4 linked regions of the Pelodiscus sinensis genome follow. The protein of the gene in region 4 interacts with the protein of the main gene of each other region in a pairwise test. Links are inferred from orthologs where the notes say so. Each region holds a gene or a part of one and is shown on either strand. Other genes may lie near its edges. The genes, in order: ATOX1, MOB3C, WDR4 and FAM118A.

What was found.
Region 1: the proteins of FAM118A (region 4) and ATOX1 interact in binary tests that used the Homo sapiens proteins (3 or more experiments, as listed by UniProt). The two-hybrid records come from large-scale screens. The link is inferred for Pelodiscus sinensis from reciprocal best matches to the Homo sapiens genes FAM118A and ATOX1.
Region 2: the proteins of FAM118A (region 4) and MOB3C interact in binary tests that used the Homo sapiens proteins (3 or more experiments, as listed by UniProt). The link is inferred for Pelodiscus sinensis from reciprocal best matches to the Homo sapiens genes FAM118A and MOB3C.
Region 3: the proteins of FAM118A (region 4) and WDR4 interact in binary tests that used the Homo sapiens proteins (3 or more experiments, as listed by UniProt). The two-hybrid records come from large-scale screens. The link is inferred for Pelodiscus sinensis from reciprocal best matches to the Homo sapiens genes FAM118A and WDR4.

The regions. Positions count from the first base shown.
Region 1 is NC_134727.1:36,245,215-36,252,135, forward strand, and holds the start of ATOX1 (copper transport protein ATOX1), read right to left. Parts: upstream 3,012-6,921; 5' UTR 2,875-3,011; coding exon 2,869-2,874; intron 1,145-2,868; coding exon 1,069-1,144; intron 1-1,068. UniProt on the Homo sapiens protein: Binds and deliver cytosolic copper to the copper ATPase proteins. May be important in cellular antioxidant defense.
Region 2 is NC_134719.1:3,779,860-3,787,709, forward strand, and holds the start of MOB3C (MOB kinase activator 3C), read right to left. Parts: upstream 3,011-7,850; 5' UTR 2,722-3,010; intron 2,356-2,721; exon of another isoform or gene 1-2,355. UniProt on the Homo sapiens protein: May regulate the activity of kinases.
Region 3 is NC_134711.1:190,828,872-190,836,343, forward strand, and holds the start of WDR4 (tRNA (guanine-N(7)-)-methyltransferase non-catalytic subunit WDR4), read right to left. Parts: upstream 3,004-7,472; 5' UTR 2,927-3,003; coding exon 2,817-2,926; intron 1-2,816. Other genes in the region: NDUFV3 (NADH dehydrogenase [ubiquinone] flavoprotein 3, mitochondrial), read left to right, coding at 4,168-4,218. UniProt on the Homo sapiens protein: Non-catalytic component of the METTL1-WDR4 methyltransferase complex required for the formation of N(7)-methylguanine in a subset of RNA species, such as tRNAs, mRNAs and microRNAs (miRNAs).
Region 4 is NC_134711.1:123,742,754-123,750,664, forward strand, and holds the start of FAM118A (protein FAM118A), read left to right. Parts: upstream 1-4,901; 5' UTR 4,902-5,049; intron 5,050-5,055; exon of another isoform or gene 5,056-5,489; intron 5,490-7,002; 5' UTR 7,003-7,010; coding exon 7,011-7,057; intron 7,058-7,911.

The sequences.
Region 1 (6,921 bases), on a different chromosome or scaffold from region 4:
TTGGGTAGGGCTGGCAGGGCAGTCTTCCATGGGTGGGGGATGGGAAAAGGAAGGGGCAGGAGTCGTCCCGGCACCAGGACTGCAGGCTGGCGGGACTGGTGCTGCCAGGGCTGAGCGCACCAGCGGCAGGGCAGTGGTCTGCTGTGGCAAAGCTGAGAGCCCCAGCGGCAGGACCGTGGGCTGCTGTGGCAGGGCAACAGGGATGCTCGCATGTGGGAAGCCTGCCGGGAGGCAAGGCCCAGAGCCGGGCTGGGGGGCCGAAATGACCTCCCCGGTCCGGCAAAATCCCTCCTTCAGGACCACTCAGGTCCCAAGAGTGCCGGACCAGGGAGGTCCAACCTGTAATACGTGGGGTGACATTATGGCTCTGTAGAAATCTCCCATTTCTTCCAGGCCACACTATCCAGCCACCCCCCCCACACTGTGCCTTGGCAGGGGCTTAGGCTGGCTGTGTCACCTGCCAACAGAGCAGCCCCCTCTTCATGGACGGCATCATCCGGCACGATGGAGCCTCCAAAAAACGGCCCCCACCACAGCTGATTTTGCCACGACACAGCGACTCCAGGGATGCTAGTTGACTCCACACCCAGCGCTTGGCAAGCAACAGTGGCAGCCACAGAGACGCGGGGAAGCAAAGGAGCCTTTGCGAACAGCAGCCACTGTCCACATTTACGGGGCATCGCGACGGGCCTGTGACCGTCCCAGATACAATTATTACAGCACCACGAGCAGTCAGCGTTTGAGCCAGAATGGTTCTTCTGACACAAGGGCTGCCATGCGCAATCTTTAGCTTAAGGCAGGGGCAAGCGCAAGCGGACATGGACTAAAGTTTCCATTATATTGCCACAGCAGCCGATGGTACCTTAAGGCTCGTATGGAAACCCCCATCTACAGGAGAGCCAACTGCCGATCCCCCTGCAGTCCTACACCTGGCTTCCGGCGTGGCAAGTAAAACAAAAGGAGCAGCCTTTCCACTGCTCTGTAAAAAGGGGGCAGTCGTGGGCACGGAGCCCGTGTCGTGGTCATCCGCTTGTCACTCGACCCCAGACTCAGAGCGGTGTCACCTACCTCCCAGCTTGTTAAGCACGCGTGTGACCGCGTTGGAGCACCCTTCACAGGTCATGTCCACAGAGAACTCGTGTTTCTGCAATGAGGAGGAGAGAACAGATTGGAGACAACCACAGAGCCCTTCTTGCTTTGTCACCAATGACCCCAATACATGGGCCAGGTGGTCTCTCCCCTGTGCTACCTGGCTCTGGTCACAATTCAAACCCTGCAAGCCTACCCTTGGCATAAAACCAAGTTTTCTGCAAACTCCGGCATATCTAGTTACAACATTAGCTGATTGTTTCCTCGGGCTCCACAATCCACCTGCATCCGCCTGCTGTGTTGTCTTAGATCATTAGCTCTCTGAGGAGGGGACTGTCTTTTTCTTACTCACCTAGTGTAACTGGATCCTTCTTCATAATACTGCTAGACTTTTAAAAACATGATTAAAGGGACCCGACTGGCATAGATGGAGTTAAAAACAATTTGGACTCTAGCTGCTACTAAGAGAGACTCTCCCAGTAACATAAAATATCTATTTCCCTGTATTGTTAATGAACACATGCAATTAGTACAACCAAAACAACCCTAATTTTCTTGTTCATTCTAACGTGGTCTAGATGCTATTCAGATGATAAAACCAATTGGTTTCATTTCACTGCTTTGTCAACACTAGGGCCTGGTTGGCTCTAGAAAATTACATCAACCCTGTTACATCACTCTGGGGTGTGAAAAATCCACACCTCTGGACAAGGTGGATTAGTTACCCTGACAGTAGATTTGCTCCTGGCTGCACAGTAGTGTCTACGCTATGGCTGCACTGCTAGAGCGTTTTAAGTACAGACAAACCCTTAGTCACTTTCTGTCTGAGGAAGTGGGTCTGGCCCACGAAAGCTCATCATCTAATAAACCATCTTGTTAGTCTTTAAAGTGCTACATTGTCCTGCATTTTGCTTCAACTACCCCAGACTAACACGGCTACATTTCTATCACTTTTCTGTCCCTCTGTTTGAGTTCCCCAGGCTCCAAGGGAAGATTTTCATCCAGAAAGACAACAATTTTCGTTTCCGTTGCCATTTTAAAACTTCACCAAGCTGTGGGTGGCTGTCTGGTTTGGAAAGGATACCTCCAAATGAAAAACCTATCCTTCCGTAAAATTAGTGGATGGGAACCCCACCCCTGGAGGCAAACATATGCAGCACCCAGCTAGCCGCAAGAGGTATATACAAATAAGGGGCACCGTGAACCAACCTACCCCAAGGAACTTCCCATCTAAAGAGACCACCCAGGATACAGACCCTCAGGCCAGCAGAAGCAATCCCTGGCCAGCCTGAGAAGCTGCGGTGCCAATACACCAGCAGGCTCCAAGCATTTCGTAGGCGCTACAACAAACGAGCATTTTTAAGGGGAGGGGGGGATTTGGAGGAGAACCAGGGGCTAGTTTGGCAGCTGGCTGGCTTCCCCCAAGCCGGATGGCCCCCAGGTAAAGGAAACCAGGTGCCATTAAGCTGCGCTGGGGACTGTCTCCCAAGGCCCCCTCCCCCAAGGAGCAGCCTGTTCTCGCTGTGGCTGCTAGGAACGAGTTCGCCGGGCCCTCCCGGCACACGCCCAGCAGCTCCCCCTGCGCCCCGGGCTCCAGCCTTCCCCGCTTTGCGCTCGGAGCGGGGCTGGACCCGGCCTGGCCGGAGGCCTGGCTCGGCGGCTGGACTCTGGATCGGGGCCACCCCGGGCGGGTTTCGGCTCAGCCCGTGGGAACCCGAGCGCAAGGGATGCGCCGGCCCAGACAGCGCCCGCGGGGCACGGCCGGGCGGCGCCACCCACCGGCATGGCAGCGGGCGGCTCGTCTGCGCGGCTCCTCTCCCGGCTCCGCGCACCAAGAGGCCGGCGCCGCCCCCCGGACGTGCCCCGCCCGCCGCCTCCTGCCCGGCCGGCGAGCCGCGGGAGGGCGCCCTGGGGCTCGGCTCGCTGCGCACGGAGCCGGGTCGGGTTCGCTGGGGGCCCCGGGCCGGCCCCAGCGCACGCAGCGGGGAGCCCCGCGCCTCCCACGCAGCCCCCCCCCAGAGCGGATCTGGGGGGGGTTGGCTCCGGGCTGGGGGGCGGGGGCAGGAGGGGGCCCGGGGGCTGGGGCAGAGTGGTGGGGGGCAGGAGGGGGTCCGGGGGCTGGGGCAGAGCGGTGGGGGGCAGGAGGGGGTCCGGGGGCTGGGGCAGAGAGGTGGGGGGCAGGAGGGGGTCCGGGGGCTGGAGCAGGAGGGGGCCCGGGCAGAGTGGTGGGGGGCAGGAGGGGGTCCGGGGGCTGGGGCAGAGCGGTGGGGGCAGGTGGGGGTCCGGGGGCTGGGGCAGAGAGGTGGGGGGCAGGAAGGGGTCCGGGGGCTGGGGCAGGAGGGGGCCCGGGGGCTGGGGCAGAGGTGTGAGGGGCAGGAGGGGGTCCGGGGGCTGGGGCAGGAGGGGGCCTGGGGGCTGGGGCAGAGCGGTGGGGGCAGGTGGGGGGTCCGGGGGCTGGGGCAGAGCGGTGGGGGTGCGGGCTCAGGGTGTTGGGGGCGGGGGCAGACGGGTGGGGTGCAGGGATGTGACCGACTAGTCGTTTCCCCCTCCCCCTTACTGCCTCTATCAGAAAGAGACAGGAAGGGGGGGGGTGCTTCTTGGGGACTGGCCCCGGGATCCATGCGGTGCTGCCACTGTGAAACTCCGCGGCGAGCGGGGACTGCTTGAGTCACCTGCCGGCTCCACGCTCCCTGCAGCGCTTTCGCCTTTGAAGTGTAGGCCTGGGGCTGTTGGGACACTTTAGTCGGTAAGGGCACCTCCCCCTCTGATCGACTAATCGATGCAGATTGCATCGACTATTCGATTAGCCTGTTAATCGACATTTTACATCCCTAGTGGGGTGTAGGTGAGGCATGCGGGCCCTGGGAAGGAGTTTGGGGGCGGGATGGGGCTCCGTGCTGGGGCAGAGGGTAAGGGCGGCTCCGTGCTGTGGCAGAGGGTAAGGGCGGCTCTGGGCTGGGGCAGAGGGCAATTGGATGGGCCCCTTTGAGGCTACATTGCTCAGGCTTTGGCTTCAGTCCAGGTGGCGGGGCCGAGGCATCCACCCCATGCAGTATGGCTTCGGCCCTCTGTCCTGGGCCCCAGAAAATCTAACACTAGCCCTGCTGGGTGGACCCCACCCCTGAAACCTGCTTACAGCCCCCCAGGAGCTCCCTGGTTGAGAACCGCTGCTTCTTGAGGCTACAGCTGGAGCTCCCCTAAGCACCATTGTCATTTGCAAGTTCCTGTTCCAGAAGCAGTGGGTTCTGGGATATTTTGAAATGCCACCAGAGGGCAGTTGCCAGAAGCCCTAGTGGAGATGAACTGAATGGGGAGGACTGAGAGCAAAAGTTACTTGCTACTGGGAGAGAAAAGGTAACAGTGGAAGGACTGGAGTTTCTGAGCCCTCAGGTCATGCTGGGATTACACTGGTTTAGAGGAAGCTGCCCTGCATTCAGACCTCCTGAAAGCTAGTTTAATCTGAACTATATTTGGAGCACTTTCCCAGGGGGAATCCAATGTTTCATTAGTGTGTTGGGGGGCAACCAAATGACTTAAGGCTGGTAAATTTCTTGAGTGTAGGTGAAATCCAAAGGGAACCCCACTCATTCACTTTCCCTTTTCTACAGAGCTGCAATAGGACAGTAAATCAGGGAATGCACAAGTTAGGATGAAGGAAGAAATCTTCTTTTCAATCGTGACAGATTTTCTTCACTCCTAATTAGGAAATGGGTGAAAGCTGATGTCAGCTGTGCAGATTCTGAGAATCTGGTTGGGTGTGTGGAAAGGAGACTTTCTCCCAGCTGAAGAATGTGTGTGAGGGAGCAACAGAAGTACCTGCTGTAGTCTGCAGAAAAGAGATTTAAAAGGGGGTTGTGGGGGGGAGGGGAGGTGTTAAAGAGTTGGTGAAACAATTGGGAAAGTTCTGAATCAATGGCTGGATACTTAACAGCTGTTGAAATCCACCATCCAGGGCACAAAAGGATGCGCATGTTGGAGATTAAGGGGTAGTAGTTAGCTCTGGAATGAAAAGTCTGCTGGTGGCTGTGAGGTCCCAATGAAGGGGAGATAACAATGAAGATTAGAAGGCTACTAGGCTGGAGGGAGCCGATTTCCCTTGGTTGCATCAGGAAATCCCCCTTCAGATTATAAATTGTAAGCAGGAGAATCCTGACCAGTGTGGGGTAAAGCACTACGGGGTTATGTCTACACCCGCAGCTTCTGGCACAAGTACAGCTGTTCTTGCGCAAGAATCTGTAGAGCGTCCATACTGCCCGCCCGCTCTTGAGCAAGGAAATTTACAGTACGGCATAGTAAGAGAGGGCTTCTTGCACAAGTGATACACCTGATAAAAAAGAGTGTAAGCCCTCTTGCGCAGGAGCTCTTGCGCAAGAGGGCAGTGTGGACACTCGGCAGGGATTTCTTGCGCAAGAAAGCCCTATGGCTAAAATGGCCATCGGAGCTTTCGTGCGCAAGAGAGCGTCCACACTGCCATGGGCGCTCTTGCGCAAAAGCACAGCTCGCACATGGCAGTGTGGACGTTTTCTTGTGCAAGACTTCTTGCACAAGAACCCTTGTGCAAGATGTTCTTGCTCAAGAAGCCACCAGTGTAGACATAGCCCGTGAGCCTAACGTGGTCTGGTTTTTTTGGCTCTAGAATCGGTCAGGTGAAAGTGACTTCCCGGAGGTTTGTCTACCTTCGAGCCTGTGTGGAACTGCAAGTGTCTTCCAAATTCTGGTAGCGAGGTGGTGATGCCTGTCCTGCTCCCCACCCCTCACTCCATGCCAGTACACGGTAGTGAACTAATCTTTTGAAGCAGTGGAGTGGAAACAATCTACTTTGTAAATCTGAGAGTAGGGTGTGCTGGGGAGGAGGCGCTGCGCATGGGACCCACGGGCATAGGCTGTTGTGTAGCCACCCCAGGACTTGTGTAGAAGTAGGGGGATGTATCAGGATTGAGAGGCATCAGTAGAACTGTCTGAGCAGCCCAGAACTGGAATAGGAAGGGGGCGCAGCAGGTCAGAATAGATGAACTGGCTTGCTCGGGCAGTTGAGGACTGGAGTAACTGGCCTGCGGCAGGTCAGGAATGAGGTGCCTTGGGTGGGACAAGACAGCAATCAAGGGTAGCGGGAGGGAGTTATGGACAGCAGCTCACCACTGCATGCCTGTCTCCCTGTGAAGCGCACCAAGTTTCAGTTGGATAAATACCCTGAAATAGCGAGTGTCCCATGCAGGCCTTGGCCAGAGCAAGTGAAATGGCTTCTTAACGCAGTTGTACTTTGCATCATGCTGAGCAGCAGGTTCCAGTTGCCCGTCCTGATGTTCCCTCTCGCTAAGTTAGCTGGGCATGGGCCCACCTCTGGGGAGGCCGGGTGGAAGATGATACCCGCCTTGAGGCACGGTAGCACCGGGGTCAGAGCCGATGCCATTTCGCTGCACGTAGAAATGGCATCTTGTTTCAGTGCTGTAAAAGTAGGTGCTGATGTGACCCTTTCCGCAAGCGTGGGGGTTATCTGAGAGACCGTGCTGCTGTGGGCCTCTCTGCTGTTTGTCCTCCCAGCTGTGGGGCAGGGTTATTTTACACGGCTGCCCCTTGGCTTGTACTAAACTCTGCAAAGGCCTTGCTACTGATCTATGAGCTGGCAGCTTGCAATGTGGCTCAGGATATAAATAGTAAAAAAAAAAAAAAAAAAAAGCGGGGGGGGAATATTAATGCTGAGGATGGCATAATGCCAGCCTAGTGACTGTAAATCTCCCTGCAAGAAACTAGGGAAGGAGATTCATACAGTGGCTGCCTGCTAGGGGAACAAGAGGCATTAAGTCCTGGCTATAGGGTCAGGTGTTACCCTTG
Region 2 (7,850 bases), on a different chromosome or scaffold from region 4:
AGGAAAAGAGAAAAAGCCCCTGCTGACACATTGATAGCCGAAGAGCATCGGCAGAGTCTAAGGGGAAGCTGCTAGGGGAAGTTCAAAAAGGATACACTTGAGATCTTTAGTTTGGTTCTTAACCTCTCCGGCCAGGTGTCCAATCAACCTACCTGCCACTGTATTAACAGGGCTGTCCTTACTATGAGGGAAACTGAGGCAGCTGCCTCAGGTGCCAGACTGTGGCAGGGGGGCGCCCTCAGGACTCAGAGTGTAGAAAATTGTGTCTGCTGCTGCTGAACAAGGCATTTTAAGTTGTTAGTTCTCCTTTATCGGGGTAGGTAGCAGAGCAGTCCCATGAGAGGAGTAGGACAGGAAGAAGGCAGAATTGAGACCTTTCAAAGTTTTGTCCCAAGCAAGGGGACATGTGGGCGTCCTTTGAGCTCCCCGCCTCAGGTGCCAAAATGTTGTGGGCCGGCCCTGTGTATTAACGATTATTATTTGGGCTCTGAGGAGTGCCCCACGCCCAGCAGGTGTGCGGGTTACATCACTGCTGTAAAGCACACAGCCTATCGCATTAGTAATGCCACTGCAGTCCATGGGACAGAGACGCTTCAAGTTAAGTGTGAGCATATGGATTTGCTGGGTTGGAGCCTCGTCGCGCAACCGTGCTACAAAGAGCTGCATAGCTGGAAACAGATCTCAAATTCTCTCCCCGATAGTCCGCTATCTCTGCCCTGTCCTTGTCCGGCCTTTGAGTTGAACTCATCGAAGGAGCCATGAAATGATTATATTTTAAAATGGTCCCAGGAACACAGTGCTCTTCAAACGGGGCTGGTTTTGCTTTCGGCTGAAGACCCAACCCAGCTGTGCTGCTGGGGAGGAACGGGGTTACTGGCCGCGGATCCCAACTATGAATGATGGAAAATTCCAGGAGACGTTCCAAGTGTCTCGCTGGGAGGGGGAGTTAACAGGCCGGGGTGTGAAGGGCTGTGGGAGAGGCCAAAGCGCACTACCGTGGGAGAGGGAGCTCGGACAGGGAGCCCCAGCTGAGCCGTGGGAGAAGATTGTCCACCAAGGACTTGGCAACTGCCTTCGGTCCCCTGGTGCACAATACTCCAGCCGTGCAAAGTCCTGCTTCCAGACACCGGCCCCTGCTGGTCTTGCTCACTGCCCACTGCCAGGCAACCCCTCCCTGGTGCTTGCACCTCCACTGCCTGGCAGCCTGCTTCTCCCTTCACTGTCACATCTGCCTGCCTCTCAGTCCCCTTGCCCTGAACTGGTGTTACTGGCTGGCCCATCGCTCTGCCCAGGGCTAGCCCACTGTGGGCCTGGCATCACCCACCTCAGCTGCTGCTGCTCCTCCAACACCCTCTTAGCATGCGTCTCCCAACACGCCTCCTTGTGGGGTTCGTCTATCCTTGTGGGGCTCCAGTCTATCTTGGCCCTGTCACCATAGAAACCATGTCTTCCTCCTTCCCGCCCCTCTGTGAGGCAGGGCAGGGTGATTACCCCCATTGCACAGAGAGGCTAAGTGACTTGCCCACGGTCACATGGGCAGTCTGTGGCAGAGGAGGGATTGAACCCGGTCACCACGGAGACAGCCTTCCTTTCACTAGACCGACCCTCTTATGCAAATAACAGAAGGGAGATGTAGCTCCCTAGCCAGCGTGTGTTGCAGGTTCCTCCCTCTGCCTGATTCACAGAGGACACAGGTCTACCACTGCTGCTAGCTAGAGGATATGAGCCAACACCCGTGGGTAGGGACGGTGTCCCTGACCTCTGCTGGTCAGAGGCTGGAAAGGGGTGACAGGAAAGGGATCACGTGATGATTCCCTCGTCTGTTCACTGCCTCTGGGGCACCTGGCATTGGCCACTGAGGATACTGGGCTAGATGGACCTTTGGTTTGACCCAATATGGCCGCTCTGATGGAACTGGGGAGACGCTCGTGCTCTTCGCTCAGCCCTTAGTAAGGGTTGCCATAGAGGCCCTACCCCAGAAGGTTTCCACGTGCGCAGCTCCCATGTGAGGCTCAGACATAACCCCAAAAGCACAACACAGCAGCCGCCTACAACTCATCCTCGGGCCAAAGCCAAGCTCTGCCCGGTCTCTGTACGGACCAGCTTCTAGAACATGCCGTTTCCTCCCTCACGCCACCAGCTCTGGAGGTTTAACTGCACAGCTCTACCCACACGCCCAGCGCATTTCATCTCCCAGACCCCTGTCAGCTTCGCCTTGCAGTGGCAACTGGCCCCGGTCCAAATTCTGAAAAACACAGGATACGGCTTCCAAACGTTGGCTGTTTTGGCTCCTCATCTGCTCCAGGAAGTCACATTGACTCCGCTCGTCTGCTCAGAAAGCCACATGCGCTTCCCCTCTCTATATGTGCTACTCTCCCTCCTCCCCCCCGCTTAGCTGGTTCCTTACGCTCGCCCCGGACACACAAAATATGGGGGAGGGTCACTAAATATCGTCCAGCTGACTCTAGTTGGCAGCAGCCAGCTTCTGAAATGCCTCCTCTCCCCACCCTATAAAATGGACCAGCAGCAACTTCATTCCTGGGGTCAGAAGTTGGGGGAATTAATCCACTTGCTGCATTTGCTCTTGTCCCCCGTGGGGCTGGGACACAGGGCAGGCTAGAAGGGAAAGTGTGAGGCTGGAGGGGGAGCTGCAGACAGTTATTCTCAGAGCAAGCCAGAAACTTCTTCAGGAAAGTTTTATAAAACCAAACAAACACTCACCTAACTCCAGACCTGATCTGAATTGGAGAGCAACTGTCCCCCGCGGGTATGGACAGGTCAGCTAGCTAGGTCCTCCGGATTTCTTCCGAGCGTCCTCCGTTTAGTCCTGAGTTCCCAGAGTCAGGGAAAAACTCACACACGCACCAGCCCTTTCTGGGGTTTTCATGAAAGAAACTCTGCCTAATCTTTTTCTCCCCTCCCAATGATGTCATATCCTGAGAGTGTCTAGAAGTACAGCTGCCTGAGCAATAACTGACTGACACACACACACACACACACACACACACACACACACACACACACACACACACAAAAGAAAGTTGTGGCTCGCCCTGCCCCCCTCACGCCTCAATCTGTCTGTCTCCTGTTTCCTCTCTGTGGCATTGTGGTAGCTGTGAGTCCCAGGATATGAGAGACCCGGGGGTGTGGTAATAACGGCTCCCTACCAATGCTAAATAATCAGTTCTGCCTTGTATTTAACTGTGATGCCAGGAGCCAGACCGGAAGACAAGCCCTGGGTAAGCTCGAAAACTTATCTCGGTCACCGACAGAAGTTGTTCCAATAAAAGATATCGCCTCACCCACCTTGTTCCCTGACTCTGTGGTGCTTTTAGCTGTGTGAGTATGTCCTTCGGGCTTTGATGCTGCAATATCTCCTTTGGCTTATGTGTCCTTCCTCTAGTTGGCTCTAGTCCACAGAGATATGAAGGAATACTACAAGCGACGGTTTAGCTCTCCAAGGCTGTGTCCACAGCAGCGTTGTTTCGGAATAACGGATGCTATTCCAAAATAAGAACATAAGAACGGCCATACTGGATCAGACCAAAGGTCCATCCAGCCCAGTATCCCGTCTGCCCACAGTGGCCAATGCCAGATGCCCCAGAGGGAGTGAACCGAACGGGTAATGATCAAGCGTCTCTCTCCTGCCATTCATCTCCACCTTCTGACACACAGAAGCTAGGACACCATTCCTTACCCACCCTGGCTAATAGCCATTAATGTACTTAACCTCCATGAATTTATCTAGTTCTCTTTTAAATCCTGTTCCAGTCCTAGCCTTCACAACCTCCTCAGGCAAGGAGTTCCACAGATTGACTATGCACTGTGTGAAGAACTTCCTTTTATTTATTTTAAACCTGATGCCCATTAATTTCATTTAGTGGCCCCTAGTTCTTATATTATGGAAACACGTAAATAACTTTAGTCACCAAGCTGAAAAATCCCAGTCTCTTTAATCTCTCCTCATATGGGACCCGTTCCAAACCCCTAATCATTTTAGTTGCCCTTCTCTGAACCTTCTCTAATGCCAGGATATCTTTTTTGAGATGAGACCACCTCTGTACGTAGTATTCAAGATGTGGGCGTACCGTGGATTTATAGAAGGGCAATAAGATATTCTCCTTCTTATTCTCACATAACACAGTCCATGTCTACACACAACACAGTCCATGTCTACACACAAGCAGTTCTTTCGACAGTGCCAAAATAACGTTTAGCTGTTGGACTGCTTACTCCGACTCCTTGTAACCCTCGGGGTGCGTCTAGACTGGCAAGATTTTGTGCAAAATCTTGCCACCTCTCTACACTGGCCATGAGTATTTGTGCAAGAACACTGACTTTGCACTGTACAAAATCAGTGGTTCTTGCGCAAATACTCCGACGCTCCCGCTCAGGGATAAGCCCTCTTGTGCAAGTATTCTTGCACAAGAGGGCCAGTGTAGACAGCCAAGTTAATTTCTTGCACAAGAAAGCCTAATGGCTAAAATGGCCATCGGAGCTTTCTTGCGCAAGAGAGCGTCTACACTGGCACGGATGCTTTTGCGCACAAGCAAATCTTTTGCGCAAAGGCACATGCCAGTATAGACGTTCTCTTGCACAAATACTTCTAATGGAAAAACTTAGGTGCCGCATAAATTTTTATGAATGTAAATGGCTCCGGAGCCCCACAAGTTGGAGAACCGCTGGCATAGCTCAAGTCCTGTAGCTGATTTCGGTTTATGCCCTGCTGGGTAGATGTGAAAAAGTGAATGGAAGAGAGAGAGAAATGAACTATTCTCCTTCCCTCTGCTGCTGAAAATCAGCGGATGGATTTCACCTTCGATGAGAGCAGCTGCACAAGCATCACCGTGCCCGGAGAAAGACTGGTCTCTTGATCAGCAGAGCTTACTTACTGGGCTAGCCCACCGGGAACATTTAATCAATGAATGTGCTGAGAAGTTGCTTCTTTTCAACGTCACGTTCGAAATAGAGGTCTGAGCCCACAGTTCAGTGCAACGGATCCTGGCTCCAGCTTATTTGTGTCTGCAAGACTGGGTCTTGATATTTGTATATGATAAAGTTCTTTAAAGGAGCTCAAAACTCTTGGCATACTCCTGCATTCCTGGGGAACCCCAAAGCTGCCTCTAAGGCTGTGTCCAGACTCAGGGTTTTTTTCGAAAAAAGTAGCCTTTTTTCGAAAAAACTTCACCTGCGTCTAGACTGCAGCCGCATTCTTTCGAAATTAAATCGAAAGAACGCGGCTTTTCTTTCGATGGCGGAAAACCTCATTTTACGAGGAAGAACGCCTTTTTTCGAAAGTGCTCTTTCGAAAAAAGGCGTTCTTGACTGCAAACAAGGGTTTTTCGAAAGAGAGCATCCAGACTGCCTGGGTGCTCTCTTTCGAAAAAGCGGCTTGCTTTTTCGAAAGTTCCGCTTGCAGTCTAGACGCTCTTTTTTGAAAGAGGCTTTTTCGAAAGTATCTTTCGAAAAAGCCTCTTTCAAAAGAGGCTTGCAGTCTAGACATAGCCTCTGTCAGGGGCAGGGAACCTTCTTTGGGTAGGGGGCTGCTGGCCCACAGAAAAATCAGCCAGGGGCCACACACAAGTGAGAAGCACAAAACAAAACAAACCCCTTCACCGATACGACCCCCGACTAAGAAGGAGAAAAACACTCCCCATATTCCCCTCACACACCAGAGCATGGGGGTCCCAGGCTAGTAGATTTTTGTGTGTTCCAGCCCGATGGGGGAACAATGGAGGGGGGGGCTGGAGCACCAGTGTGGACTCCCCAATACTGGGGGGAGCCCCAAGCCTTGGGGGCTGAACCCAGGCCAGCTGGGGGCTGCATCGGGCCCCTGGCCTTCGGTTCCCCAGCCTTGCTCTAAATCATATGGGCATTGTAGGGGTGTGAGGAAACTAGAATGAAGGCCCTGGGAATTGCACACAGCAAGTTTCTGTTCTTATGTAATTACCGACACCTCCAATTTCTGTGGCAAAAACATCCAATTTCCTTCACTGTTTGCTTTTGGCTGCTTTTTCTCAGCTCAGATTAGAGAAAGCAACTGGGCCTTTGCCTATAATCAGTTTCGCCATCAGGTTGCCTAGTAGTGGCACAAAACTTCAGTGTTCAGGTAGCAAATATTGCTGGGGAGTATTTGCCAAAGGGGGTTTCACTGTGTGTGTGTGGGGGGGGGGGAGAAGTGATGGCAAATTGTCTGTTCTTAGCTGCTGCAAACCCTTATTTCATAAAAGGGAGATTTAGGGCCACGTTTGGTCTGTCAGCATCCATTGGGTACATCAAGTCTGTAACAAGCCCCCAATCCCGAGACTGACCTGCAGATTTCCTTAAAGAGGGTAATCAACATATATGTGATCTAATCCCTCTGCTTGCCACTGCCACTAGTAGCAGCTCAACTTTACATTAGAGCCATCTTTTTCTCTAAAATGATATAATGTAGCAGTGAGTTCCACAAGTTAATTGTTTCCCAAGTACTTTCTTTCACCAGTTTTAAGTTAAAAGTAACTAACTGCATCAGATGCCCGTTGTGAGGAAGATGTTCCCAACTGGCCTTGAAACCATCATTGTTTTATATACGTCTGTCAGGTCACCTCCTTGCTATCATGGTTTATAGAAGCATACTCATTCTTACACAGGAGGCATTTATTAAAGAAATTGACTACAGCTAGAGACACAAACAGGCTTCCATGCAGCTTGAGTCCCAGCTTTGTCTCCCTTGTTTACCAGTATAGCTGTACCTTGCCTACAACTCTAGACAAAACACAGGGTCACCTGAGTAATATCCTGCAATGAAGACAGAGTAGATTCTGATCTTACTTCCCACTGATTCAGGAATAATTCCTCAGAATTCTGGGGTGTTACCCCACAGTGTAAAAATGGAGTTCCAGCTCAAGCACCAGATTTTGCTCAGTCACCAACACGGTCTCCCCTGGCTCCCTAGCCTGCCTGCATCACCAGGGTTCCTGTGGGCCTGGTCACCGTTTTTGTGCATGTCACAGTCCCTTCCTGGCACAGAGTGAGTCTCAACTGCCATCTCCGCCCCTGGGCAGAGAACAACGTGCGGAGCAGTTTGATTTGCCTTTCCCTTTTTCATCACCCCTTAGAATCTTGTTGACATGACATGAGTCATCCAGGAGGCAGGAAGCCACAGACCCTTCAGCTAGCAAAAAAAAAAAAAAAAAAATCACACCCCTCCCTCCACGGCCTTGAATTCTAAACTGTGCCTCAAGAAAAGGCAACAAACGTGAAACAAGAAGGCACGTTCCCCCTCCCCCACACCCTGGTCTGTTCCCTTTTCCGGACCCTTGGTCTCTAGGCCAGACCCGAAACTGGTGCAAGTCACCTTAGCTCCACTCAAGTCAACAGAGTCACGCCAGTTCACGCTGATTGAGGGTTTGGCACTATCTCCACAGTCCTTTTTGGAGAGCCATTAAATCATATGGCTTTCTCCAGCACTTCCGTCCTGCTGCTTGTCCCTCACAAAGCAGGGGGTGGGGGCGGTTGATTTTTTTGCATTAAATTTGAGGTTTGCAGGCACTGATGTTTTCCACATGCTGCTTTCATCCTTTGCAGAGGGCTTGAAGGTTACATGTTCCTCGTGGACAGCCAATATGTGACTTAAGTGTCCAATGTACAGTTCACCTTCAACAGAGAGGGCCCAGCCCTGCAGAGACTTATGCAGGCAAGTCACCTACATAAGTTTTAGCCCTACTGGGCCCTAGTCCCCCAAATATGGACTCTACTTCATATCATGTTGGATCTTGTTCATTTGGTTAACAGCTACAGGAGGCACTTACTAAAGCAATCGACGACAGCTAGAGACACAAACAGGTTTCTATGCAGCTTGAGTCCCA
Region 3 (7,472 bases), about 67 Mb from region 4:
TTCGCAACATCCTCTGGCAAAGAGTTCCACAGGTTGACTGTATATTGTGTGAAGAAATAGTTCTTTTGCTTTGTTTTAAATCTGCTACTTATTTTCATTTGGTGACACCCTAGTTCTTGTGTTATGAGGATTAAATAGCACTTTTTTATTTACGTTCTCCATGCCAGTCATGGCTATATAGATTTCAATAATTTCTCTCTCTCAGACATCTCTTTTCCAAGTAAAAGAGTCCCAGTCTTATTAATCTCTCCTCATATGGAAGCCATTCCATACCCATAATCATTTTGTTGCTCCTTTTGGAAACTTTTACAATTCCCATATACAGTTTTTGAGATGGAGGGATCAATACTGCGCACAGTATTCAAGATTTGGTTGTACCATAGTTTTACAGAGAAGCAATATGGTATTTTCTGTCTTATTATCTATCCCCTTCTAAGTGATTGCCAATATTGTTTGCTTTTTTGACTGCCACTGTACTCTGAGTGGTTGTTTTCAAAGAACTGTCCACAATAGCACTCAAGAAAGAGATCTTGGAGTTAACAACTAATTTAGAGACTCCATCATTTTACATGCATTGTTGGATGTTTTTCAATGTGTATTATTTTGCATTTATCAATATTGAATTTAATCTCCCATTTTGTTTCCCAGTCACTCAGTTTTGAGCTGTCTTTTTACAGCTATTTGTAGTCTGCCTGGGACTTAATTATCTTAAGTAGTTTTGTATCATCTGCAAATTTTGCCACCTTGCTATTAACCCTTTTCCAGATCATTCAGCTAATTTAGGAATATGTTGAAAAGGCCTCAGAGCAGACCCCTGGGGGATACCACTGTTTACTAGAGACATTAGCATGTAGTCATTTATATATTTAATCGATATGCTAGGGCTTACTGGTTAATCCAAATGACTACACAGACATCTCTCCCCTTGCTGCCTCTGTATCAGAGGCCGGGGGAGGGGAGAAGGGAGGGAGGAGAGCCAGTGCCTGTAGGGAGCCAGCTTTTAAATCTGCTCCCCACATGTGCTGGTTCCTGCGGAGCTGCCTGCCCCCACTGCTCCACCCCGAAAGGCATCAGCGCAGGGGGACAATCAGGAGTCAGTCCTCAGGGAGCGCTGGTCTAAAAGCTGGCTTCCCACAAGTACTGGATCTTGCGGAGCCACCTCTCCCACACTCCACTGCCTTGCTGCTGCCTCTGATAGAGAAGCAGCAGCACAGATGGTGAGGGAGGCAGGTAGGAGCCAGTGCATGTAGAAAGCTGGTTTAAAAGCAGACTCCTCACAAGCACTGGCTCTGCGAAGCCACTTGCCCTCCTGCACTGCTGCTCCTTCCTGCACTCTTCACCTTCCATGCTGCTGCCAGCACAGGGGTGGGGGGCAGGCGGTTTTGCCAGATGTGGTGCTCCTGGGGAGCCAGCTTTCAAGCCAGCTCCCCCCAAGTACGGGCTCCTGCATGCTCCCTTCCCGCCTCCCCTGGCTGCTGCCTCTGTGGGAGGCAGAGGAAGGGGGTGAAAGCAGCACCACAGGAACCAGCACACATAGGGGCTGCGTCTAGACTGGCAAGTTTGCTGAAAAGCTTGCCAGCTGTCTACACTGGCCGCTTGAATTTCCACAAGAACACTGACTTTCTACTGTCTGAAATCAGTGCTTCTTGCGGAAAAACTATGCTGCTCCCGTTCGGGCAAAAGTCCTTTTGCGCAAAGCTTTTGCGCAAAAGGGCCAGTGTAGACAGCTCAGATTTGTTTTCCACAAAAAAGCCCTGATCGTGAAAATGGCGATCGGGGCTTTTTTGCACAAAAGAGCGTCTGGATTGGCACGGACGCTTTTCCGCAAAAAATGCTTTTGCGGAAAAGCATCCGTGCCAATCCAGACGCTCTTTTCGGCAAATGCTTTTAACGGAAAACTTTTCCATTAAAAGAATTTGCGGAAAATCATGCCAGTCTAGACGTAGCTGGGGAGTCAGTATCAGAGGCAGCAAGGAGTGTGTGTGTGCACGCATTTAGTTGTTTGAATTAACTCATAAGTCCAGGCTTATCAGCTAATTGTGTAAACCACTACATGCTAACATCCCTAAAGGTTAACCAGTAAGCATCACCCTTCATGGGTGATGCTTACCAGTTCTGATTAACCAGTGGGGACTGAAGTGCTCTCCACTCCCCAAGGGCAGGGCATTGCTGAAGCCGCGCAGGACCTGCCAGAGACAAGGCCACTCCTGTCCGCCCTGGCGAGTGGGGGGGGGGGGGGACTGGCGGGGATGGGGAGATGGGAAGCACCCATGCCTAATTGGGCTGCAGTGGCCCCTGGTTCTCTCTTTAATTGGTCAACCCATTAACCATGTTTAACCAGTTAATCAATTAATGTTAGATTCCTAGTTTCCAGTGAATGGTGCCTCTTTAATTCTGGCAGTATCCCTTTAAAAAGATACATTTAACATAACAAGGTACAAGAATAAACAGCATACTGGGTAGTAAAACAAAGGCACACACTAGTTAATAAGAATGTTTTCACGTCCAGTCGGGAATTCACCCTCAAAGCATTACTGGCTTTAAAAAGCATTGAAATGTCATCTGGGGCCATGCTGATGCTCCTGAACTCCCGGGGGCGGGGGAGGCCTTTATGCAGACATCTCATTGGAGGGGGTGGGATTTAAAGGCCGGACACAGGCAGCGGGAGCGTGTGGCCGTGTCTCGTCCCGAGCCAGCCGCTCTCCGGTTCCACGCTGAGAGAAGCCCCGGGGACGGCACAAGCCTGGCCCGGGACGGGCTCCCGGGACCATCCTCCCGGCCGCTTCCCCGGGCAGCGCCACAACCCCCGCACTGACCTGGGCTCCTGATAGCGGGCTGCTAGGAAGCGACTCCCGCCGCTGGCAGCCATCAGGCCTCCGCAGAGCGCCAGCCCCGGGCCGCGACTTCCAGCCCCCGCCGCCTCCATGCACACAGCCGCCCACGTGCGCGCCCCCAGCTGCGGCTTACCGAGCCGGCGCGGAGTGAAGACGTCACAGAGCAACACGAGCTGATTAATGACGTGATAGGAGCCCTCCCTCCCCCCGGGACTTTCTATAGGTCCTGAAACAAGTAATTCAAGCTTTGATCCTACAAAGAGGCCAGAGCTCTGCGCACAGGACCCTGCCGGCAAATCCACTGTCAAACTATGCTGAGAACTTTACGACAAAGAATGTATGGCCTTGATTGTGCCATTTCCCCATTTGTGAAATTGGGATAACGAGGTGTACTTGTACATGGGCTGCAATAATTCGTTAGTTGTTTTGAAACAGTAGTCCTACCTACTGTATGTTCTACAAAATCATTTCTGACATTTAAACAATAACACTGGATAGATACTTCAGGGGGTTCGTTACTATTCTGTACACATAGTCCTCCAAAGTAATTGATGGAACTTCAGGGGGTAGCCGAGTTAGTCTGTTACAGAAAAAAAACAGCAAGCAAATGGTCTGGTAGCACTTTATAGACTAACAAAACATGTAGATAATACTTATTTAACACTCTTATCAAAGTGCTTTTCTAATATAATAAACTATTCACTAGTGGTGGTATTTTTAAAATGTCGCTGCACCATTATGTGTAAGTTATTCCAAATTTCCAAGCCAAAATTAATTATACATAAACTATGGTGTGGCATGCTCCCTGCTACCATACTGGTTCCCTAGGAAATTAAGATCTAATCTTGCACAACACTGAATGCTGTTTGGTGTTTTGCAGGACTGCAGCCCTAGTTCTTTCCAGTGCAGTTTTCTAACAGCGTGTTGTTGAAAAAAATCTTCGGGACTGGCACTAGCCATGGGACAGGACAGCCCTGGGGCGGAAGCACAGGCCTGGGGAAGGATCATATGACCGCAGCATCAGAAGTGCCAGGCTGGAGTTGTTGCCCGTTTCACTGGCCGCGCCCTCGAGCAGGTCCCTCGCGCTCCGCACTGTGTGTGTGCGGGGGGGGGGGGGGGGCTGCGAGGGTTCCCCCGCCGCCAGCAGCTCTTGCGCGGGGCGGGGACGAGGGGGCCTGGCACGTCGGGCGGTGGGCGGGGCAACGGCAACGCAGCCACTAAGGGGCGAGGTCCGCGCACCGAAGCCCCACCCAGCCCGCGGAGACGCTCGAGCCAGGCCGCCCCAGGGCTCGGTACCTTTGCTGCGGGGGCCGCGTTTCCGCGGGGCACAGACATGGCGGCCGCCGCCTCGCTGCTGGGCTGCGGCCGGGCTGTGACTCGCAAGGTGAGTGGCGGGGACGATGCTCTCCCGGGGGTGGGGTAAGATGCGCGCGCACACCTGTCTCTCCCCCGCCCCGGGACCGGCTCGCGCTAGCGGGGCTTCCCGTTCTAATCAACCCCTAACGGGGTGGGGGGGGGGGTGTTGAGGCTCTTGCTTGGGGCGCACGCGCCGCCACTCAGCCACGCCCCACGCACGCACAGATTCTAGGGGCCACTGACTCCGCCCGGGAGTGGGGAGGACGAGGACAGCGGCAACCACGCATGCGCCAGGATTCTGTCGCCAGTCCCACGGAATCTGTGTAGCTGAGTGCGGGGGGGACTAGTGCGCATGCGTTGGCGCCTCACCTTCCCAGAGGCTGCCCGTACACAAGACGGCGCCGCCCTGTAGATGCTGCGCATGCGCTGTTGGTGTCTGAGGTTTGGGCGTGGTTCGTGCAGCTGAGCAGGGCTCAGGCCTGGGCTGACACCAGGAGCCAGGGAGGGCCTGTGGCTGCCCCCCTTGTACTGGGCAGGCAGGTGGTGCTGTGGCAGGAGAGACCTCTCTGCTCTGGAGCCCTGCCTGGGGCTAAGAGCATGGAGCTGCGCTGGCACTAAGTGCCACTGGCTGGGTTGCTGTGGCCCAGTGCCTGGCTGTGCTCAGGCCTCCCTCTGCAACCGGGAAATGTTTCCCTGCCAATCAATATCCATTGAAACTTCAGCTTTTCAGAACATTCCAGCCAGTCTGTCTGGCAGCCACCTCAATAGCCAGGGCTGCTGCTGTCCCTCCTAGTGGAGTCTGGGATCTATGCCTGGTCACACCGTTCCAGGAGAGAAAAGTGTGTCTAATGCAGCATAGCCTTCCTGGTGAAGACAAGGCCCAGGCAGGCAGGGTTTCATTTAATACAATCTGCTGGAATGGTACTTGAAAATTGTTTCAAACGTATATAAGTAGGTTTGGAAGGATTAGATTTTTACCAGTAAATATCAATTTCACTTCATACACAAACCAGTGAAAAATATTTCCATTGATAATAATCAATATTCAGCAAGAAAGTAATAAAAATGTGGCCTGAGAACTTATTACAGTAAAAAACTGCAGTAGTTTAGGTTTTTAAAGTAGGCGTGTTACAAATGGACTAGTGAATAGTAAAAAACAGGTATGATTTAAGATATCCCTTCTCGACCTTTTTTCTCTAAGATGAAGTAATTTTTAAGGTGATGAAGACAATTTGGCTATGTCTACACTCGTGGCTTCTTGCGCAAGTACAGTCATTCTTGTGCAAGAATCTGTAGAGTGTCCACACTGCCCGCTTGCTCTTGCGCAAGGAAATTTACAATATGGCATGGTAATAGAGGGCTCCTTGCGCAAGAGTTATGCTCTTTTATCAGGTGTAAGACCTCTTGCGCAAGAGGGCAGCGTGGACGCTCAGTAGGGATTTCTTGCACAAGAAAGCCATATGGCTAAAACAGTCATCAGAGCTTTCTTGCGCAAGAGAGCGTCCACACTCAGCGGTGGATATAGGGCAGGGCGAGCGGGGCAGCTGCCCCAGGCTCCGTGCTTCAAGAGGCCCCGCGCACGCTACGTCCGGTTAGCTGCTGCTGAGGCGCATGCACAAAATTGTGTCTCCCTGGGCCCCGCAAAATTATCATCTGCCCCTGTCCACACTGCCATGGGAGCTCTTGCGCAAAAGCACAGCATGCACATGGCAGTGTGGATGTTTTCTTGCGCAAGACTTCTTACACAAGAACCCTTGTGCAAGATGTTCTTGTGCAAGAAGCCGCCAGTGTAGACATAGCCCCAGTGTTTTAATTAAGGATGTAAAGGAGTCGATTAATTAACTCCTCGTATTCTTCCCCCCCCCTTGCTGCCAAAGGCAGCAAGGTTGGGGGGGGGGGGGGCAGCAGGAGCAGGTGTTGGGGGAAACTGGTTAAAAAGCCAGTTACCTCTAGTACCATCTCCACAGCACCACTTGCCCTGTCCCATCAGAGGCAGCAGTGCAGGGGAGCCAGGAGAGGCTACTCCAACAGCAGCCCCTGTCCATGATACAAATTGTATCAACTACACGATTACCTGCCTTTTAACATCCTTAGATTTAATGGTTAATAAACTTATTTTTTTCATTTCAACTAGGGATGTTAAAAAGTGTTTAAATAGTCAACAGGATAAACATATTGCATTTTAAAGTTAAACTGGTTAACTGCCTATCCTGCTTCAGCCGCTCTGACACAGCTGGGGGAGGAGTCCTGGAAGCTTGCCCAGCCAAATTGAACCACAAATGTTGGGGGTGGGGCCACATTTGTGGTTGGAGTCACCCCGGGCCTCCCCTACATAGCCAGGGCCAGGACACCATCCTGTTGCGGTTGGGGCCAGAATCCCTCTAGGCTGCTCCCCTGTAGTTGGGGCTGGGATGCTGCTGTCCTCCCATCCCCCTCCCATAGCCAAGGGCTCCTTCGGTCTGGGGGGGAGAAGCCCCCACCTGTGGGGTGCCCAGCTGCTCCAGCCCCCACTGGTTAGCCTTAACTAGTAAGGCACATCCATTTAGGGTGATGCCTGATGATTAACTGGTTAAACTTTCACATCCCTAATCTCCGCATCTGTTGTCTTTAAATATTGTTCATTCCAGTTTCCTGCAACGATGAAAATTTAAATCATTATAACCTCCCATAATTTTGCACTACTGTAAAAAATTAAATCAATAATAGAAATAAAAAATGCTTACCAATAAACATCAGTATTGTCTGTAAATTATGAAAATAGACTTCTGTCAATCCTACTTGGGAGCTCTAATGTGCTTCTTTGCAACCAGTCTTGCATATTTCTGCATAACAACACAAGAAACAGATCAAGAAACGAAAACAAATCTCATGCTTCAAAAAATAATCCGACTATAACTGGTACCAGAAGGAAAATCTTACACATTCATACTATACGTCATTTTACATTTGACTGTTTAAAGTGATTTTTGCCTTTCTCTAACAAGTAGTGGCTACTGTCTGACTCTGGTCTAGATAGGTACATGATCCATTCCCAGATCGCAACTTCGGTTGTATGTCCATCAGAGATAGTTGTGGGGGGGCGGGGGGGGGGGGGGGGAAGAACCACTGTGCAAATTTTGGCTTGGAAGGATTAGATTTTTCTCAGAAAATATCAATGTCAGTTTACTCGCACAAACCGAATTATTTCTATTGATGATCGAAATATGCAGATAGGCAAAGTAAGAAATTTATTTAAATGTATTCATTTAAGGATATACTTTGTATATTTTGGTGTGTGATGTT
Region 4 (7,911 bases):
CTCCGCGTCTCCCTGGTCTGCTGGGGGGAGCCCCCCAGCAGACCAGGGAGACGCGGAGCAAAGCCTTGGAGGACCCGGGCGGCGGGACCGCAGCGCGTCTGGGCGGTCCCGCAGCCCGCGTCCTCCGGGGCCAGAAAAGCCCCGTTTGTAAGTACGGATCTGACGTAAGTCGGAGCCGCGTAACTCGGGGACTGCCTGTATCTAAAAGCCTATTTCTCCATGTAGACTGTAGGAACTTTCAGATTATAGTTATGGAATTTGGATATTTTCAAGGAGTCTTAAAGGAATGTTAAGGTGAAAAATCACAGGCACCATTATGATACTCTAGTTTAAGCTCCTGCATAACATCTAGGAACTTCTGCATTAAGTAAATCACTTAGTTTAAGATATAGCATGAGGTATGGTGATGTGCCCTGTCTAAGGGAGGGTTTGTATGGGATTTTGAGGTGAGCTGTCTTGTGAGAATCATATATGGTTCTCATCAATCATAGGTGCTTCTCTAGCTAGGGCTTTAAGTAGGGCTATCACTTAATCTCATTTAACTCACACAATTAATAATAATAGTGAGTTAAAAAGGTAATCATGATTAATTACAGTTTTAATCACACTGTTAAAAATAGAATGCCAAATGGAATGTATTAAATATATTTTTTTAAACATTTTAAAATACATTGATTTCAATTACAAGACAGAATACAAAGTGCATGGTGCTCACTTTATATTATTACAAATATCTTTGTCTGTATAAGTTTTGGAAACTGAAGGGTATGCATGTGTTCATTTTAAACAAAATGTGGATTGGAAAGTAGGTATGCCTAAAGAAGCATAGAACAGTCTAGAAAAGGCCAAGGGAAGGGAGGTGAACTCAATGGCTATATCTAGACTGGCATGATTTTCCGCAAATGCTTTTAACGGAAAAGTTTTTCCATTAAAAGCACCATTTTCACCATCGGGGCTTTTTTGCGCAAAACGGTTCTCAGTTGTCTACACTGGCCTTCTTGCGCAAAAGTATTTGCGCAAGAGAGCTTTTGCCCGAACGAGAGCAGCATAGTATTTCCTCAATACACTGACAATCTTACATGACATTGTTAGTGTTCTTGAAGAAATTCAAGCGGCCAGTGTAGACAGCTGGCAAGTTTTTCCGGAAAAACTTGCCAATCTAGACACAGCCAACATGTATAGTGGAGAAGTACTAGCATGTGACAAACAAAGCCATATATGGAAAGGTTGAATCTGATTGTCATGTGCTTCTTGCTTGAGGGGCTCTGGCTGATTTTAGTACCAGGGGCTGTGCCTTTGTGCACATTGAATAAAGTCTTGTTGAATTGAATTGAAATATTGAAGACCCTTGATTCTGCCCAGCATCTGACTCTCTGGGAACCACAAAAATCCCAACAGAAACAAATTAAGACTTTAATGGAGTTGCCCTGTATATGATCTGTCTGAATGTGGCTCTTGAACTCACTGCGTGGTACAAAGCAATGAATGGTCAGTTGAGTATCATACCTCTCTCTCTTCTTCCTCCTCCCCCACTTTTCTCACCTTGCTTCCCTCTTGGGTTTAGTCAGAGGTAACTAACTGGTGAACACCTCCATTGTACTGCTCTTTTCCAGTTATGTTTAGCTTTCCCTGTTTCCCAAGGACTCTGCTGTCACTGAATTCCTCAGCTATAACAACAGTTCTTAGCCTTCACTGTCTACTACTTAAGAGAGAACTCTTCTCATTTCAACACATTATGCCTTTCTCTTACTGTGCCTCTTGTTACTGAACTTTACATTTCTTTTTACCATTTCTGTCTCTGGTATGCATATACCTTAGTGAAAATGCAGGAACCAATTGCAAGACTGTGAAAGCTACTTTAAAGCTCTCCCTAATACCATTAGTGTATAGGTATGGAAGGGGAATATCTTAAAAACATTTGTCTTTGGCTAATTTTCTAGCTCTATGCACAGGATGCACAGTGCCTATATAATGTAGTCCTCTGTTTATTACTTTTTAAAGTAATGTAAAACAAGAAAAGAAAGTACTGTAAACTAGGCAGGGGTCACAATCTTGAGTCCAGGAAAATATTTAGAAAGCATCTGTAACTCTTATATTAGCAAAATATTATTAGACTCTCAGCATATTATTTAGAGATAGTAAAGTTCCAGTTTTCTAACCATTCAATGTCAAATGGAGTTTCATGAACAGTGACACTGGGTTCCAGGCAGGGCTGGCGACCGATTCACTGGACCCTGGAGAATATGCATGGGGACATTAGCGCCAGATTCCCCAGGAGGGACATGGGCTCATGTGGAAGGGGCAGGGCTAGGAGGCAGCCTCCTCCAGCTATCCCTCAATGTAGACTGGACTGCACCACATGGCATTCTGGCAGCAATTTAAAGGGCTCAGCGCTCGAGCTGCTGCCTATAGCAACCCAGAGCCCCAGATCCTTCTAAATCACCAGGCCCTGCCGCTCTGGTCCCAGGCATAGTAACGTGAATTACAGTGTGGATTGTCACCAGCTTCTATGTGAGGTGACATAGATTGTTGACCTGGAGGTTTACTCAGGCATATTAATATGGTACAAATACTCTTCTGATTCACCTGAGACCAGAGTGGAGAAGTGGCCTCAATTTTTGCACAACCCCAAATTAAACCAAACATTTCTTTTTCAGATGACAATAGGTTTAGCTACATTCTCTTCCCAACAGACATTGGGTTTTCTCTATGATCTTATTTTCAGGCTGCTGGAGCGGTAGGGGGTAGGTGGCTTAGGGCAGAGTTCAGGGGCAGGGAGCTTAGGGCAGAGGGTTGGGAGGTGTGTGGGGGGAGCTCACTGCAGGGGGAGGGAATGCATAAGTCAAGGCAGGTGGAAGGTGCAGGACTCAGGGCAAGAGGCTAAACACAGGGTGGTGGGGGAGGGCTTACTGGGGCCAACCGTAGTGGTGAAGGTGGTGCAACTCCCATAGTGACTCCTCCCAGGGGACCATGGCAGAACTCTCCTGCCAGCAGGACCCCCCCAATTACCCTCCTCCACAGCCTGCAGGTTGTTGGGGGGAGGAGGGGATGAGGTTCCAGCAGCAGCAGACCCCTCCAGCTGTACCTCCCTCTTCCCATGCAGCCTCTCTGAGGGAGAGCCAGCTCCAGAGACTACCACCCCCTCTGCCCTGGTCTGCAGGCTGCCTGAAGGGGTGGGAGTGAGTCTTCAGGGGCTGCTCCCCTCCTGCAGCGCCCTCTCTATGGCCTGGAGTCTGTTTGGGGAGAGGCCAAGCTTTGAAGGCTTCCTACCCTCCAGCGGCTTCCCCGCAGCCTGCAAACTCTTCATGGTGATGGTAGGCTCCCGCTTTGGGGCATGAGGGCTCTTTACCAATATGCTGGCAAGGGGAACCCCAGCCCTGCTGGCCACTCTCTTGGTGCTGCAGCTGCCACAAATGGCCACTCTCAGTATCACAACCTGTCCCCTAGCTCTGTAGCCAGACAGGAATCCCCCGCCCTGTAATATCCATCTTGCTTACCCCTCTTAGGTGCTTGGAGCATACAGGGCACACAGAGCAGTAAGATCAGCATAGTCTTTGAAGCCTTGACAGAAGGCCTGGATATGCTGGCTGTTGTGACCCTGGATGGCTATAAAGAGATACTCCAATTGTTGACCTCGAGGCTGCGAGAACTGCCTTGGCTGGCACCTATATTGATACAAACACACAGCTGTCCGCGGGGGGAGGAATCTCCCGCCCAGTAAAGAATGTCCAGTACTCTCTCTCTTGCAAGTGTAAATTAAGTTGAAACTCCCTTGTAAGAACTGGCGTCACAAAGACGGACCAACACAATTTGGCATCTTAGATAAGAAAGAGGATACAGGCCCCTATGGGTATAAAGATGGGTTCAGCAGCCCACACTCTGAGCATCAATCTACCATCTATCTGCTGGTCGGGTTAGGTGATTGGCCTCCTGAGGTTCCACGGGGACGCCCATCTCGTATTTGTCTTTCCTAGGAATTGAGGGACCAGCCCTGGCCTGACATGCTGGAGTCGAGAGGCACAGAAGGGGGTAAAAATTGTACCTGGATGTGTCCTTTGTCTTAAGCGTACACATAGACTTAGAGCTCTTTAAAGATTAAGCTGTCACTTGGTACCATTATTTCTATTTTCTATCTTTATTTTCTTTGTAACCATTTTTAAGATCTATATTTGCTAGCAGTTAAGAAATAGAGCAATAGCCATTGTAACCATAGGATTTATAAGCTTCTTTAATAAACCTGTAACTGTTTAAGCTTTAACCTGACTCCTTCAGTTGCTGTAACAGAACCAAGTACAATTTAAAAGAACTCCAGCCGGTCATAGGGAGCAGACACAGGGCAGAGCTGGGCATTTGGACCGTGTCGCTTCCAGGGGACAGACCTCGGTTCTAGCAGCTAGACTTGGGTGTAATAAGCTCTCCCTGCAAACTTTGGGGTGTCTGTCAGCCTGTTGGCTGCCCGCCGCGAAGGGACCCCGGTCCTAGCGGTCAAAGACAGGGATGTAAAACTTCTCAGGGCGCCCATCAGCCTCCCCTAAGGCCGCTCTCTGCGACAGGACCTCATGTCCTAGCAGTTGAAGACTTGGGTGTATAACGCCCAGGCACACGCGCTGCCCTGACCATGGGCTGACATGCCCCCTCCCGTGCCATGTCCCGGATCACACTCCCGTCCCGGCTCTTCCCCTTTCCCAGGCACCGCCGACTGGGTTCGCTGAGGGCGAGAGGAAGCTGCACAGCAAACTGGGTGGCCGGTTAGCGCGCGCTGCACCGCAAGGCGGGGAGAAACGCGCTGCGAAGGGGGGGGGGTGCTGCAGGGTATTTAAAAGCAGCCGGGACGGGGCGAATCGCCCTAGGGAGGAGGGGGGGGGGCGGAGCCCTGGCGCGAGGCGGCTTCCCGGCGGGGGGGGGGCGGGGCGTGTTTGGGAGACACCAGCCGGGTGGGCGAAGGCCGCGGGGCGAGAGCTGAGCAGCTGGCTCCGCCCCCGGCCGGAGGGGTAAAGCCGAGAGCGAGGCCGGCGCGCGCGCAGAGAGAGCGGCGCTGGAGCCCAGCAGGTTTGTGGGCGCGCGGGCGGGGGCGTTACCGGCCGCCTCAGGCGCTGCCCGGAGCCGTTGCTGCCCGCGCGCAACTCCCAAGCCGGTGGTAGGAGGGCGGGGGGAGACTCGCTGCTGCTGCGCGGAGCTCTCCTGCCCGAGCTCGGGAAAGGGGTCAACGGTCACGGATCAAAATAGCAACGCTCCCCCCTGGCGCGTGCCTGGCCGGCTGCATCGGCACCTCCGCGGTGCTTTCTTGGGGGAGCAGAAAAATAATCCTCTGCCGGAGCCGCAGATCCCTTGGGCAGGGAGCGCGCTGGGGTTTCATGCGCGGATTAAAAAGGGGGAGCGTGGACTAGCGCGCCAGAACCGGAAGGGACCCCAGAGGGCATCACGTCCAGTCCCCTGCCCTCGCGGCAGGACCGGTTAAGGTCTTGATTAGGGTTGGACAATAATTTTTGGTAAGGGACCACTCCAAGATTTTTGGGAAATGGTGAAGGGCCTCGCTTTTCTGTGCCGGAAATACCGGGGCTAGGATGGAGGTTGGGTGCAGAAGGGCGAACGGGGTAAGGGACTGGGGTGCAGGAGATGGTGTGAGAGCTGAGAGGGAGTTTGGGTCAGGGAGTGGGGTGTAGGGTCAGGGAGCAAGTGCCAGTGCAGGAAAGGATTCTGGCCTTGGGGAGGGGCTCTAGGAGAAGGTGCAAAGTCTGGAAGGGAATTTTGATCTGGGAAATGGGGGTGCAAAGTAGGAGGGTTTGGATGATGACCTGAAGCTGGGGAATGGGGTGCAAGATTGGGGAGGGGATACAGGCACAGGACAGGCTTCTGACTTGGCAGAAGGGTGTAGGAGGGGGTATGGGAAGGAGTTGTAATCTAGGGGAAGAGGGTGCAGAGGGTTTGGATGCTGACCTGTGGGAGGGAGTTGGCATGCAGGAGGGGCAGAGGTGCCAGAGGCAGACTCTAGCTGGAAGGCACTTACCTAAGCATCTCCTGGCCAGCAGCCCTGCCGCACTTCCAAGGCAGACTAGACTCAAGCCCCAGATCACTTAATATTGCAGGCTGTTCTCTTCAGGTGACTCTCAGCCACTGCTCCCATTTCCCCCATTGCTGAAGGAGCATAAATGTATGGTATTTTTGAAAAGTATTGATTATCTTTTAAAATGCTTCTAAATTACAAGTTTCTTATGTACCTTTGTTTTATAATTGTTTCTTTTGACATCTCTGGCTTATCACTCATATACAGTAAAAATATCTTTAGAGAAGTGAAGGCAAGATGGTGCATGTGGGGGTTATTTAAAGAAAATAAATGTAACTATCTAAATAGGTATTTTGACTTGTGCTTTCTTAAGCTGAATTTGAACTTCTTAAATAAAGCGAATAACACTGAAGAGCTGTTATTTTCCTTTTCTGTATCATGTTTGGTTTTTTACAATTTACAGATTCGGTGGTAAGCATTTGTTAATGGGATTATTTTTTAAGATTTGAAACCCATCTAACATTCTTGAGCAGTTAAATATATTTTCATTTGACTCTTTTACAGTTGCCGTAAATGAGGAAGGGTGTGTGTGTTGTGTATGAGTGTTTGGAAAGCAGAAAAGTTGCACACTTAAATGAACAGCTTTTTCTCCACTTGCCACACAGATTTGGAGTTAAGGGAAGCATATATATATATATATATATATATATATATGACTTTGAAAAATTGCATTCTGTCTTATTGGATCTAGATATAGGGCAGATTGTTAGCTGGTGTAAATTTTCATAGCTCTACTTAAATCAGTTGACAACTTGAAATCAGAGTTCATCATTACATTAGTTTTACTTTCTGTGAGAAGTCTCTCACACATTGTTAATTTAATAAATTGAAAAAAGCTAAGAAACTGTCAAATACAACAACATTTAATTTTGATAGTAATGGGGCATTTTTTTATGTAAACTGAAGTATTAAGAGTTGCTACCCTTTTTAAAAAATAGGTTCAGAGATGGAGTCAGAAGAAAGGACAACCATCAGAAGCGAACAAAAATCGAGGTAAATATAATGGTAACTAGTGTGAGAGAGATCTGGAGGGCAAGAGAAAGTAGGGGATGTCTGTTACTTGGGGATCACCCAAAGGTTAAGGTGGGAGTGAAGATGAACTTTAAAGATTCCAGATGCACCTTTGTGAAAAGGTAGAGATCATATTTGCTGCTTTAGTCTTCCAAAATTTTAGCATACTGTTTTACTTCCCTTCCTCCTTTTTTTCTTCTTCCTACTTATTTAGATTTTAATCCTCAAAATAATTCATATAGGCAGATTCTTACATTGCCTTTGAGTTCTGTAGATTTAGTGGAACTCTAGGAGAATAAGGATCCTCCCATTTGGACCCCTTTGAGGATTGGGCCTCACTATTCTGCAAAATGACATGGAACTTTTTTAAAGTATCTGTATGAGAAAGCTCAATAAGTTTGTAAACGTGCAAAAGTCAAGGACATGAACAAAAAGGATTTCTTGAGTTAATTACTGTCCTTGATGGTCTCCCTTTAAGGACAACATGAAAATATTTGCAGTATAGGCTATCACAACAGAGTAAGAACAAAATTAAGATAGAAGGTTACTGTATAAAACTACCCGATAACCCTTTCATATTTTTAAATTTTAAAAATAACAGGGGTGCTCAAAAGCATGTGAACTTTTGTAATTTTTTCCATTGCCAGCATATTTCATACTTGGTTAAGCTGTTATTGCAAAATAGGTAGCAGGTATGCCTGGAGGAAACAAACCGTTTGTGTGGGCTGTTGCAGAAAGGAGAGTATAAAAGCAGTATCTTATTTAGCGACTTGCCTAGTAGTTGCTGTACCTCAGGGAGTTGCTTATAGATTCAGCTAATGTGACCTAGAAAGATC